3 linked regions of the Arabidopsis thaliana genome follow. The protein of the gene in region 1 interacts with the protein of each later gene in a pairwise test. Each region holds a gene or a part of one and is shown in the gene's direction. Other genes may lie near its edges.

What was found.
Region 2: the proteins of AT3G53630 (region 1) and AT1G63130 interact in a two-hybrid assay, tested with the Arabidopsis thaliana proteins (one large-scale study listed by BioGRID).
Region 3: the proteins of AT3G53630 (region 1) and PPR2 interact in a two-hybrid assay, tested with the Arabidopsis thaliana proteins (one large-scale study listed by BioGRID).

Annotation. Positions count from the first base shown.
Region 1 is NC_003074.8:19,882,151-19,886,484, forward strand, and holds AT3G53630 (uncharacterized protein), read left to right. Parts: upstream 1-1,710; 5' UTR 1,711-1,835; coding exon 1,836-2,413; intron 2,414-2,939; coding exon 2,940-3,042; 3' UTR 3,043-3,411; coding exon of another isoform or gene 3,412-3,418; 3' UTR 3,419-3,788; downstream 3,789-4,334. Other genes in the region: PPa4 (pyrophosphorylase 4), read left to right, coding at 66-173, 562-627, 710-830, 907-988, 1,116-1,158.
Region 2 is NC_003070.9:23,410,612-23,415,656, forward strand, and holds AT1G63130 (Tetratricopeptide repeat (TPR)-like superfamily protein), read left to right. Parts: upstream 1-1,906; 5' UTR 1,907-2,242; coding exon 2,243-4,135; 3' UTR 4,136-4,544; downstream 4,545-5,045. Other genes in the region: RBL2 (RHOMBOID-like 2), read right to left, coding at 1-114.
Region 3 is NC_003074.8:1,955,908-1,960,275, reverse strand, and holds PPR2 (Tetratricopeptide repeat (TPR)-like superfamily protein), read left to right. Parts: upstream 1-1,971; 5' UTR 1,972-2,035; coding exon 2,036-2,362; intron 2,363-2,484; coding exon 2,485-3,618; 3' UTR 3,619-3,867; downstream 3,868-4,368. Other genes in the region: ATG8H (Ubiquitin-like superfamily protein), read left to right, coding at 4,002-4,044, 4,142-4,197.

The DNA of each region.
Region 1 (4,334 bases):
AACTTTCTTCGCTGTCCCTTTCATTATTAGAGGTACGATTGTCTAAACTTTACACATATTCTCAGGTCGACCGTATTCTTTACTCATCTGTCGTATACCCACACAACTATGGGTTCATTCCGCGTACCCTTTGTGAGGACAGTGACCCTATTGATGTTCTTGTCATTATGCAGGTAACATATTTTTTCATACAATTTTGAGAACCTGCATAATTCATTACATAATGTTTCTTGTTCTATTTTGATTTGTGCATCTGATAAGCTTTGAAGAAGTTCAAGCGCTCAACTCTTAGCTATAGACTCTACTTTATAACTGTGTAGCTTAGGAATGAATGTAGCAGATGAGAAATGTTGCCAGTCAGTTATCGAGCAGTTAGTGGCTGCTAGGCTTATAAAGGTGTCTCAGCATATTGTTTAGAGTGTGGATTTTCTAGTGTTTACTCTGGAATTTAAAACCTCTTATTAATCAATCAAGTCTATAAGCATCATCAGCATCTCAGTCTGTCTTATTTGACTGGTAGAAAACACATCTCATGTGAATCTTGTTGAATATTTTCTACAGGAACCGGTGATCCCAGGATGCTTTCTTCGGGCCAAAGCTATTGGTCTGATGCCAATGATTGATCAGGTTAGATATTCAACGTACTTGTCATATTAGTACTTATAAAAGTAACAGAGATTGAAACTAGAAGCTCTTTCTGCTTGAATAGGGTGAGAAAGACGACAAGATCATTGCTGTCTGCGCTGACGATCCAGAGTATCGCCATTACAACGACATCAGTGAGCTTCCGCCTCATCGTATGGCTGAGATCCGCCGTTTCTTTGAAGACTGTGAGTGTTCTTTTCTTACAAACTTTTGGTTGGTTAAGGATGATATGAGGCTCATACTCTTGTAATCTTGTTGCAGATAAGAAAAACGAGAACAAGGAAGTAGCCGTTAACGACTTCCTTCCGGCAACTGCAGCCTACGACGCAGTTCAGCATTCCATGTAAGTAGCCTTCATGAAACTTACTGTTATTTACTTCATATATTATGACCTTGTAAATAGCCGCAATTTGTTTATATCAAAGAATAACTAACTAATCAAATTGGGACAACTCTTTTGTGTCATGTAGGGATCTCTATGCAGACTACGTCGTGGAGAACCTAAGACGTTGAATCACCACCTCAAGCAATGGAATGAAAGCTCACAACTGCATTATTCACAAATATAAATATACATATAAATGTCAGGCTTCTCAAAGGATATATTTGTTGTGTATGTCCTCTGATGAATCCGGTAGATGATGCCGATAATTCTTTTTTTTTTTTGTCGTATGAAACCGATAATCAAAGACTAAAACAGGGATTTTTCTCATTTGTGGTCATCACTTTTTAAATTTTGGTGTCATTTCTCATCTTAATCAATTTGTTTTTGAGTTTTATTCTTCTATTAGATCTTTTATACATCAAAGAATAGATGAAGATTCCTCCCTAAAACCTTATAGTATGTCATTTATTCACAATATGTTATACGTGTTAATTTTCTCTCTTTTAGTATACTCTTTTTTTTTCTTTCAGATTCCATCCCAAGTTGCTTAAATTTTGTTAAAACCAACTAAATTCCATAGTTCAATTTACAAATCTGTGATCAGATGCTATCTAAATGAATATTACCATTTTAGCCCTTACCTTTTCTGAAATTTACCACGTTTACCTCAATGAACCGTCATCGCAAAACCAAAAACCCTTTCCTATCCCTAAAACCCGAGAGAGCATCTTCTTCTCCTCTTAGGGTAGAAGAAGGACGAAAATCGGAGGAGGAAGAAGAAGATCGATTCGATTTGTGATCAACGATGAGCTCCTTCAATGGAAACAGCAACATCGACAACCTCCTAATCCAAACCCTACTTGGACGTCTCCAAATTCGTCCCCCTAACTCTCATTTCCTCTCTCAATCCCTAGACGACCTCCTCTTCAAATCCGACGACAGCGACGGCGATGATGACGGAGAAGGTCAGACCAGTCTCGACAGAGAAGAAGCTAGGCTTGAGAAAGAGCTAATCCGAGTCATCGTCTCTGGTCGAAGCGATTCTCTCAAGCCGAATTCAGGTCAAGCCGTGACAGTCAACGAACACCACATCTGCGTTGGGTTTCATGAGGATGAGGAATCGGATTATCGTGTTTGGGAGTGGCATGGTCATATCATGTTGTTTGATGAAGAGAATGGGTACACGCCTGAGTATATCTACGGGAATTACTTCGAGAGGTTGCCTGTGAAGCTTCCTAATAACCGCCGTGTGGAGAAGGAGAAGAAGAAGGAGATGAAAGAAGAGGAGGTGGAGAATTTGGGGCTTAGAGAGTTGATCGATGGTGGTGACGCTGCTCCTGGTAGGATTCTTCATAGGAACAACATCAACATCGGTTCCTCAAGGTTTGTTTCTTACAACTCCTTTTAAACTTTCTATCATTCTGTGTTGCTTTCGGGATGATTTAGTTGTTCATTGATCTAGGGTTGGCTAATCAAAGTTTTAGGTCATGTATTAGAGTATGTATTCAGTGAGAAATATAACAATGGCTCATATGTTTTGGATGATTTTTGCTGTTAGCGAATTCTGTTTTGAAATTTGATTCGCTCATGGTGAAGCCTTTAGTTTGCTTTTACAGTTTCTTTTTCGTTGCAAGACAATAAGTTGATGAAAAGAGTTTGGAAAATGATAGTTTTTGATCATTGCCAGTAGTGAATTCAGCACTTGCTGTTTCCTGAATGAAGTTACAGGTTAGGCCAATGTGTGGTTGTGGATTGTGGTCATTGCATTTCTGTCTCGAAATAACACATGGTCGTTAAATACGATCGATTAATTCTCCTCAATTCATATTAGATAGTTGTTTCCCATATATGTATGATAAAACTGCATGTTCTTACAATGCTTTTTGTTAACTTTTTTACCTTGCTCTAGGCCTTCAATGCTGTTTTGGACACTCGATTTAGTTCACAATGTGACTAGTGAGACTTCGTCGATCTCCAAATCAATTGCTTTCATATACAGTTCACTATATTAGTCAGGGATTTTCATGCCAAGAATATTCATTTTTACGGTGTCCACAAATATTGATATAGAATGTTGTTTAAATGTTCATATGATGACCACATCTAGATCTTCCGATATCCATTTACATTACTTAATGAGAGTTCTAAGACGATGAATTTTAAGCTTGTGGTGTGATAATCTACTCAATAGTATTAGTAATGCTTGATCTTACTCTTGCCTTTTCATATTCTGTTCGGATATCCATCCTCTTCCAAGTATCTATTAGATTATTCTCTTGTTTCACTTTAGATTCCAACTTTAACTTGATTATCTTGCGGTTACATACTCAAAATGTTTAGAATCGATCACTGAACTTACGTGGTTCATCGTGAACTGGCAGGGTCTAAGTTCCTAAGAGCGTCTTGGTAGGGAGAGGTCACATTGTTCGGGAAGATTTCAGATGTGTGAACAACTCGCGACAACAAAACATAAGGTGCTGGTGGGTCTACGGGTTCTATTCCGTTTTATTTAAACCGGGAAATCCATGGGTGAATCTGTTTTCTTTAAGAAATTCATCTGAAGTTGTTTCTGAACCAAATTTACAATACATGTTAATGAAGAGAGAAAAGATTACAATGCATGGTCATCGAACTCGGAAGCTTTCAAGTTTCCCCATGTTTGTTTATTTTGTGTTCTTAAATCAGAATCATATGTTTTGCTCATTTTACAATTCTGCTTTCGATAACGAAATTTAATTGAATCGTTTTCAAATCTCGAGTACTTCCAATGAAGATTTCACCTTTTTTTTTTATTGGTGAATAGTATGTATTATATCGGATTTAAAATCACGTTGTGTAATATAATGAGGAAAGTCGTACAAACTACCAAACTAAATGTACGGTAAGAACTGGGAAGCACATGTGTTGCACACGTACCCAATACCCATGGTAGAATGTTGTTATTCATTATTGTTTTAAAATAATATTTAAGATAATAATTTTTTGGAATTTTTAGTTATATTAAGACTTTGTAAAAATTAAATCTTTAATTATTACAAATAAATTGATTTGATATTTGTAACGTAGATATTATTAATCTTATTAAGTTTGATTTTACATATTTAAACGTAAAAATGAAGAAAAAGGTATTTTTCCAAATTTACTCTATTTATAATCTATGTATTAAATTTATATGCTTAATTATAACTTTTTAATAATATAATGCTTAATGTTATAAATATATGTGTGTGAACACTTCTAATACGTACCACTTTCTAAAATTCTTTAAAAATCGTTTTGATATGCAAAAGTTCTACAAAAATTC
Region 2 (5,045 bases), on another chromosome or scaffold:
CGCCGGAATCAGCCATGAAGTCCAATGAGTTTCACCAGAAGACTCCTCGTAGAAATAATTGTTATTAGCTCCTCTGTTTTTCTTCCCTACTCTCTCCACATCTCTGTTCGCCATTACTCTGTTTCTCTCTCTCTCTCTCTCTGTCTATGTGGTTGTTATATAAAATCGAAACTTGGATTAAACGGATCAAATACGAAATTCAGGAGAAGTAGCTTACAAGAAATAAAGGATTAGAAGAAAGAAGAGATTGAGACAGAGTATCAGTAATCAGAGAGAGATTTAGGGTAAAAACTACAAAGTTGTAACCATTAAAATAAAATAAAAACGCTTTTTCACGAATTTAAACCGTTGAATTGATGTTGAAAAGTTAGTGCATCTAATTATTTATGGAATTCTATTAATTATGTTCTTAATCTTTATCGATGTGTGTAGAATAACAAAAAGTAAAGAAGAGTTTTTGGTGTTGTGTCAATGGCGAGTTAGGCGGTGGTGCCAGCTCCTCCTCTCCTAGGTTTTAGTACAAGTTTCTTTTCTGAGTGCAAAAAACAACTCAGACCTGCGACAAGATTACAAAATATATAACTTGAAAACAACAAAAAAACAAGGTATTTTGTTAAAGTAAAAAGAGAAGATAAAACATATACTCCTTTTATTTTTTCTTAATTGAATTTTTTACAAAAAGGGTTTTATTTTTTTATTTTTTTTTATACAAAAAAGTGTTTTTAAAAGATGGATTTCTAGATTTTTTTGCAATATTAATTAGATATTATTGATGAATATCAAATTTCAAGATAAATAATTAAATATTATTGATTTTTAATTATAAAAAAATATAAAACACAAAAAATAATATATTCATAATTAATTTTAATAATATTTTCTTAAGATATGTATTTTTTTAGAAAATTAATTATTAAAAAAGAGAGAAAATATAAGCTAGTACTATTTGTAGTACGTGTTATTTTGTTTTAATTATAGCATGGTATTTATAAGTTAAACTTTTTTTTCTCTAGCATGAAGACTTTTTTTTTCTGACGAAAAACTATATATAGCAAAAGGTTCTACGGTCTCGATATTTAACTATTTATAAGATTTAATAAGTTGCCAAGGGCTTCTTTAGAATAGTCGACTTTTACATTGTGGAACAAACTATTGAATCCAACAAAGACTAACTCTATAATCTCACTAACAATCGCTTGGATATTATTGTCGATCTCCAAGGAATTTATCATCAGGCCTTAAATGGACTTCGTTGCAGCATATTTCAATGGTGTATAAATTTTTGTAGCCTTGTAGGTATTGGTAGAGTTCGAGAACTTTGAGGATTGAAGGGAAGATATTATATGATCCACCCGAAATTTTTTCGTAAAAGGTTTAATATTCCTTGACGTTTGAAACCATATCAATGAAATTAATAAATAAAATATTAGAATAAACTTCAAAGATGGTTATAATTAACCATAATTTATCACTAAGGAGTATATGAAAGCCATGTGTCCAAACCAAACTCGTGTTTAATGTTCTAAACCAATTGTATGTACTTTCACATTCATTTATCAATAAGACTTTTGCAGAGGTATGAATACTTGTCCAAGTCCGTATAATGGGAGAAATGTTTGGGAGGTGATACAAATAGATGTGTATATTTTGCAAAATGAATGCATACTTTGGTTTTGTTGACATATGATTAGAAAAAATGATAATGACCAAACTTGTATTGTATCATTGTATCATATACAAGTGGAACCAAACAGATATAGATCTTTACAATCCAAGATATAAATTGGTAAGGTCCACGCGGTTTCACCTTAATTAGAAAGGGACATCTCAGCAATAAAAAAAAAAATGAAGGAAATATAGTTAGACAAATATGGAACCAAAATAGCAAAACTTGATAATCTTCTTTGTTTTTTTCATATTTATTTGCTAATGCTGGCCTTTCAATTTAGAACTAAACCAAAAAAAAATACATTATGTGATTATAAACCAAACCGGTGATAAAAATGATAAGATGAAATCTTGACCGGTCAAATGATCCAACGGTGGTGCGAAACTGGATGAATATCACTCTCACTCTCTCAGCCTATGTGAGTCTCTCTCTCTGTTTGGTTTGGTAGAACCAAAAGTTCAAACCTTTACTCTCTCTGTCTGCAAAAGGTTCATCATTTAGGGTTTATACAAGTTTACAGAGAGTTTACGATTCTGAATCAGTGATTTTGGAAGAAACCCCAATCAGCTGAAGATGAGGAGATTGTTTGCGATTTCATCGACGGGAAACAGATTTGTTCATCGGAGTCTTCTCGGAAAAGGTAAATGTGGAACTGCTCCTCCTTCCTTTAGCCATTGCAGTTTCTGGGTACGAGATTTCTCTGGTGTTAGATATGATTACAGAAAAATATCGATAAATAGGCTAAATGATTTGAAGCTAGATGATGCGGTTAATCTGTTCGGTGACATGGTCAAGTCTCGTCCTTTCCCTTCGATTGTTGAGTTCAGTAAACTGTTGAGTGCCATTGCTAAGATGAACAAGTTCGATCTTGTCATCTCTCTCGGCGAGCAGATGCAAAATTTGGGAATTTCACATAATCTTTACACATACAGTATTCTCATCAACTGTTTCTGCCGACGCTCTCAGCTCTCTCTTGCTTTAGCTGTTCTTGCCAAGATGATGAAACTCGGCTATGAGCCCGATATTGTCACGCTTAACTCTCTGCTCAATGGTTTCTGTCACGGGAATAGGATTTCAGATGCCGTATCTCTTGTTGGTCAGATGGTGGAAATGGGATATCAGCCCGATTCATTCACATTCAACACTCTAATTCATGGACTTTTTCGCCACAACAGAGCTTCAGAAGCAGTGGCTTTAGTTGACCGGATGGTTGTGAAAGGTTGTCAACCAGATCTGGTTACTTATGGTATTGTAGTAAATGGATTATGTAAGAGAGGTGATATTGATTTGGCTTTGAGTTTGTTAAAGAAGATGGAACAAGGGAAAATAGAGCCTGGTGTTGTGATCTACAACACTATCATTGATGCTCTTTGCAACTACAAAAACGTGAATGATGCACTCAATCTGTTCACTGAAATGGATAACAAAGGAATTAGACCAAATGTTGTTACCTACAACTCCCTCATAAGATGCCTTTGTAATTACGGAAGATGGAGTGATGCTTCTCGACTACTCAGTGATATGATTGAGAGGAAAATCAATCCAAATGTAGTCACTTTCAGCGCATTGATTGATGCATTTGTGAAGGAGGGGAAGCTTGTAGAGGCTGAGAAATTGTACGACGAGATGATCAAAAGGTCTATAGATCCTGATATTTTCACTTATAGTTCACTGATCAATGGGTTTTGTATGCACGATCGTTTAGACGAGGCCAAGCACATGTTTGAGTTGATGATTAGCAAGGACTGTTTCCCAAACGTAGTGACTTACAATACTCTTATAAAGGGATTTTGTAAGGCTAAGAGAGTAGACGAAGGTATGGAACTCTTCCGCGAGATGTCTCAAAGAGGATTGGTTGGCAACACAGTCACTTACACCACTCTTATCCATGGATTTTTTCAAGCTAGAGAGTGTGATAATGCCCAAATAGTTTTCAAACAGATGGTTTCTGATGGTGTGCTTCCCGATATTATGACATACAGCATTTTATTAGATGGGCTTTGTAATAATGGGAAGGTAGAGACAGCATTGGTGGTGTTTGAGTATCTGCAAAGGAGTAAAATGGAACCTGATATTTACACATATAATATTATGATTGAAGGGATGTGCAAGGCAGGGAAGGTGGAAGATGGGTGGGATCTATTTTGTAGCCTCAGCCTTAAAGGAGTGAAGCCTAATGTTGTAACCTACACAACAATGATGTCAGGATTTTGTAGGAAAGGTTTAAAGGAAGAAGCAGATGCCTTGTTTAGAGAAATGAAAGAAGAAGGGCCTCTTCCAGATAGTGGTACATATAATACGCTTATCAGGGCACATCTGAGAGATGGTGACAAAGCAGCATCAGCTGAACTCATCAGAGAAATGAGGAGTTGCAGGTTTGTTGGAGATGCTTCAACCATTGGCTTGGTCACTAATATGTTGCATGATGGGAGATTGGACAAAAGCTTTCTCAAGATGCTTTCTTAAAACAGTTTATCCTCGAGAGAAGAGGATCGTGAGGTGAATCAAGTCTTTATGTTGCCTTACTCTGTTTACTTCTCAAGCTACATGTGTGTATTTGGTTGCTGTCGTGTGTGTAAGCTTCATGAAGATGACTGATACTTTGCTTTGTGTAATTCATTGTTAGGTTAACACACACGAGATCAATTTGTGAGCATCAGAACAAGATCTCAGACGTGTCATTATTATGGTTTTACTGTAGTAGATTTGGTTTTTAACCAAACGTATTTTATAATTCTTGTTTTGAATGATTGCTAGCAGTTTCTAGTTCCTTTTGGTTCAAAAAAATAACTTGATTTGGATTCTTATTCCCAGTGACATTTGTAACGTGGATTTTATTTTGGTGGTAATATTTTAAACCGGTTTGACCAGCTCTTTTCTGTCTAAATTTGCTGGAGGAACACACTGTCAAACACAGATCTCATATGCGCAAATCCAGTTTCCTGAAGAAAAGCATTGGTATTAGACGAAAGTTAGGATGCTTTGAGCTGTCAAGAACAATCAAATCTACTAAAAATCGGTTATATATAGGAGTGAAGCATGTTTCAGAGGATATGTTCACAACAATTCCAAAAGCAGATGCCATCTTCATGAAAGTAAACTCATATATATTTCATTCATGGAAAAGTTTAATCAATAACAAATACTATCTTCATTTCATAAAAGCCTTGTTTCAGATTTTTTCACACACATTTAAAAGTGTTTTAAGTTTATCTTATACCTTTAAGTACATTTATGATTTTTTTTTTCTCCTATTAAATAAGCTGAAAGATTATAGATAAATGGTTTTGTTTTATTAAAAATGATGCATTGAAAATATAAAAGGACATTTTATATATAGATACTACATGATTAGGCCGATGGAACCAAAGATGAG
Region 3 (4,368 bases), about 18 Mb from region 1:
TGGGGGGGGGGGTTAAAATCATATACTCCTCCTTGCCGAACTATTAGGGGTCGGATTGGGCCTACTTGGCCCAATGCCCAAACCCAAGTCAAAAGCCCAAAATAAGTTCCAAACCAAGGAGGAGTATTAAGGCGAAGGGTAGTTTCGTCAAATCCCTCGATGAATGCCCTACACGCGTAGTGCTATAAATACGGAATAGCATGTCATGTCGAAGGGGGGAATTCCGCCTGACACGCAGACACAGAGTAGCTCGCCTTTCTCAAGTAGCTCGTCAGCGAGCCCTTCTCAAGAAGCTCGTTAGCTCGCTCCTCTTCGACAAGCTTATCAACTCGTTCTCTTCACCAAGTCCCTCAGCTCGTCTTCAAGCTCTCCAACTCGTCTTTAAGCTCTTCAAACTCTTCAGATCGCCATTAAGCTCAACAAGCTGCTAAGCTCGTCTTCAAGCTCCTCAACTCGTCTTCAAGCTTCTCAGCTCGTCTTCATGCTCCACTCAACGACCATCTCCTCGTCTAGCTGTCATCTATACAGCTCGTCCAACTCCTCGTCTAGCTATCAGCTCATCCCTCGAAAACAAAACTCATCTACCTCCTCGCCTAGCGGCAGTTCGTCCATTGACTGCATAGTCCACCTATCTCGTCGTCCAGCTCGTCTAGACCTTCAGCAAACAACTCGGTTTATCCAACTCGTCTCTCTACCACGGTTCATCCAGCTTGTCGCACATCTGCCGGCTCGTCAACTACCTGCCGACCTACCTCCAATGACGGCCTAGCTCACTTATTCTAATATGAACTACGTGTGGCTTGACCCCTTTCTAATATGGACTACGTGTCGTCTCGCTTGACTATCACCGAGACAGCACATTGTCAGCTCGCCCGTCTCACGAAGATCGTCCGTCTCAAATAGCTCGTCAGCTCGTCCTTCTCAAGTAGCTCGTCAGCGAGCCCTTCTCAAGAAGCTCGTTAGCTCGCTCCTCTTCGTCAAGCTTATCAACTCGTTCTCTTCACCAAGTCCCCCAGCTCGTCTTCAAGCTCTCCAACTCGTCTTCAAGCTCTTCAGCTCGCCTTAAGCTCTTCAGCTCGCCTTTAAGCTCTTCAAACTCTTTAGCTCGCCCTTCTTACAAAAACAAAAAAGGATATCAATTATGTAGATCAAAACAAAAACAAAAAAGGACTTACAAGGACGTAGATATCAATTATGTAGATCAAAGAATAAGCAGTCCAAATTCCAGCGTTGATGAAACGAACTAACGATAGCCAAAACGGCATGTACTTGAAGGTCTTAGTCTCCGGCGGCATTTTGTCCTAATTGTTTCACGCATTAAAAACTTATCAAAACCAGTTTAATAGTTTACTTATCTATATATTCATCAATAAGTGAGAGCCAGAGAGAGAGAGAGAGCTTACTATGGTAAATAAAAGATAGATGATAACAATGTTGTAAACGTTGCAAACAACACCAATGAATGTATGCTTGCCGGCCGGATAAACTCCCAAATCCCCAGATAGTCATACAATAGACTGTTGCCACAAAACTAAACTCCAACGGAAGCAATAGATAAAAGAGTAATATCTGCACATCAACATCGACATCATCAAAATCAATATACAATATTTTTCTGGATTTGTTTTTTTTTTCTTTGGGATATTTCTATAGAATTTAGTCAAGATTGTGTTTGTTTGTTACCACCTTTTGTGCACCAGTCACCAATCCTTATTTTTATTATTAAATCTATTTTTGATACTATAATTCGTGATTTTCCTTTTAGTTTTATATATATATATACTTACAGAGATGCGAGCTTCATATTATTATTTTTATCTTTTTGAACACCAAAAAAATAGCCTCGTATTATTTTTAAATGATCAATTATGTGATCATATTTAAAAATACGATCCGGTTTTTAAGGGATTTGAACGGATCAAATGTGTTTCCGGTTCGGTTATATAAACCGGTATTTTACCATATCCAACCGAAATGAGTATCGACGGGAATTATCCGTAAACAGAGTGACAGTGAGGTGTGAAGGAAGAAGACGATGGCGTCAATGTCTCTCTCCTTTTCTTCTTCGCTATGTTCATCCAGAATCCCCGAAGGTAAGCGTAGGTTTCGTCACAGAGATGTGGGCATCGTTAGATGCGTTTTGGCTGCTTCGAAATCTTCTCCGGGAAGTGTTACGAAGAAGAGGCTTTGGAAAGACGGCGAATTCCCCGGAATCACGGAGCCGGTTAATCAGAGAAGAACTCCGATAAAGAATGTGAAGAAGAAACTTGACAGGAGAAGCAAAGCTAACGGATGGGTTAACACCGTCACTGAAACTTTGTCCGATCTCATCGCCAAAAAGCAGTGGTTACAAGCTCTCGAGGTATTTCGATTTTCTCTCTTCTCGTTCATGTTTGATTGAATTTGAACTCAATTTTGAATCACGAGTATAATTTAGCTGAAAGATGATTTTGATTGAATTGGGTATTTTGTTGATGATCTTAGGTTTTTGATATGTTGAGGGAACAAACATTTTATCAACCAAAGGAAGGAACTTACATGAAGCTGCTTGTTCTTCTCGGTAAATCTGGTCAACCCAATCGTGCACAGAAGCTGTTCGACGAAATGCTTGAAGAAGGACTTGAACCAACTGTTGAACTCTACACTGCTCTTCTCGCTGCTTACACTCGCAGCAATCTCATCGACGATGCTTTTTCAATTCTTGATAAAATGAAAAGCTTTCCTCAATGCCAACCTGATGTTTTCACGTACAGCACTCTGCTCAAGGCTTGTGTGGATGCTTCTCAGTTTGACTTGGTGGATTCGTTATACAAGGAAATGGACGAGCGTTTGATAACTCCAAACACTGTGACCCAGAACATAGTTTTAAGTGGGTACGGTAGGGTCGGAAGGTTTGATCAGATGGAGAAAGTTTTGTCTGATATGTTGGTGAGTACTGCTTGCAAACCCGATGTGTGGACTATGAATATCATCCTTAGTGTGTTTGGAAACATGGGTAAGATAGACATGATGGAGAGCTGGTACGAAAAGTTCAGGAACTTTGGGATTGAGCCAGAGACTCGGACTTTCAATATTTTGATTGGTTCTTATGGGAAGAAGAGAATGTATGATAAGATGTCGTCTGTCATGGAATACATGCGAAAGCTAGAGTTTCCGTGGACAACATCAACCTACAACAATATCATCGAGGCGTTTGCGGATGTTGGTGATGCAAAGAACATGGAGTTGACATTTGATCAGATGCGTAGCGAAGGTATGAAAGCAGACACAAAGACCTTTTGCTGTCTCATAAACGGATATGCCAATGCCGGTCTTTTCCACAAGGTGATAAGTAGTGTTCAGTTGGCTGCTAAGTTTGAGATACCCGAGAATACTGCCTTTTACAACGCGGTGATATCAGCGTGTGCTAAAGCAGATGATCTGATAGAGATGGAAAGAGTGTACATAAGAATGAAGGAGAGACAATGCGTATGCGATTCAAGAACGTTTGAGATCATGGTCGAGGCGTATGAAAAAGAAGGTATGAATGATAAGATCTATTACTTGGAACAAGAGAGGCAAAAGCTTATGGATCGCACTGTTGCTACAAAAGAGATGGAGAATCTTCCGGCAGGATGATTGCGGTTTGTGTGTGAATCTCTCTCTCTCTCTCTCTGCAAGGAGAGATCGATGTCTCACTTGAAAGAGTAGAATAAAAGAGTTTGTAATACACTTGATTGTTCTTGCAGCTATGCGTGTTATATATTTTGATGGGCCCAAAATTATGAATAGAGGCCCATAGATAAACTGTGACGTGCACAAGAAATCGGACAAGTCCAAAAAGTGGATAAGTGCGTGTCGTCTTTCTATAAATAATCTCTTTTCTCTCATCTTTTACCGTTTCTTCTCGAACAATCAAAAACGAACTAACCAAACATAAAATTGAACACATCCTCTTCCTCTGCTCTCTGCAAACAAAAAAACACCGATTCGGTCAGGAATCATTCGTCGTGAAATCTGTAATGGGGATTGTTGTCAAGTCTTTCAAGGATCAATTCTCCTCTGGTTTGTTCTTCGTTAATCTCTTTCTGATTCTTTGGAATTTTTTTTCCTTCGAAATGTGCTTCTGAAGCAAAGTTTTCATCTTTGTTTGAGGATATAGATGAGAGATTGAAGGAGTCGAACAACATCATTGCGAAATATCCAGATAGAATACCTGTAAGTTATTTCATAAATTTCATGTTTGATTTGTTTCTTGGTGTTTCCGTCTTAGTTGCCGTGCGATTGTGGATTTCCTTAGGGTTCGAATGATTTACTCAATTAAAAAAAAGTCTTCGTTTGACTTGCATCTCTCGAATTTGCTAGAATCTCTGTTTCAATCTTAGAATT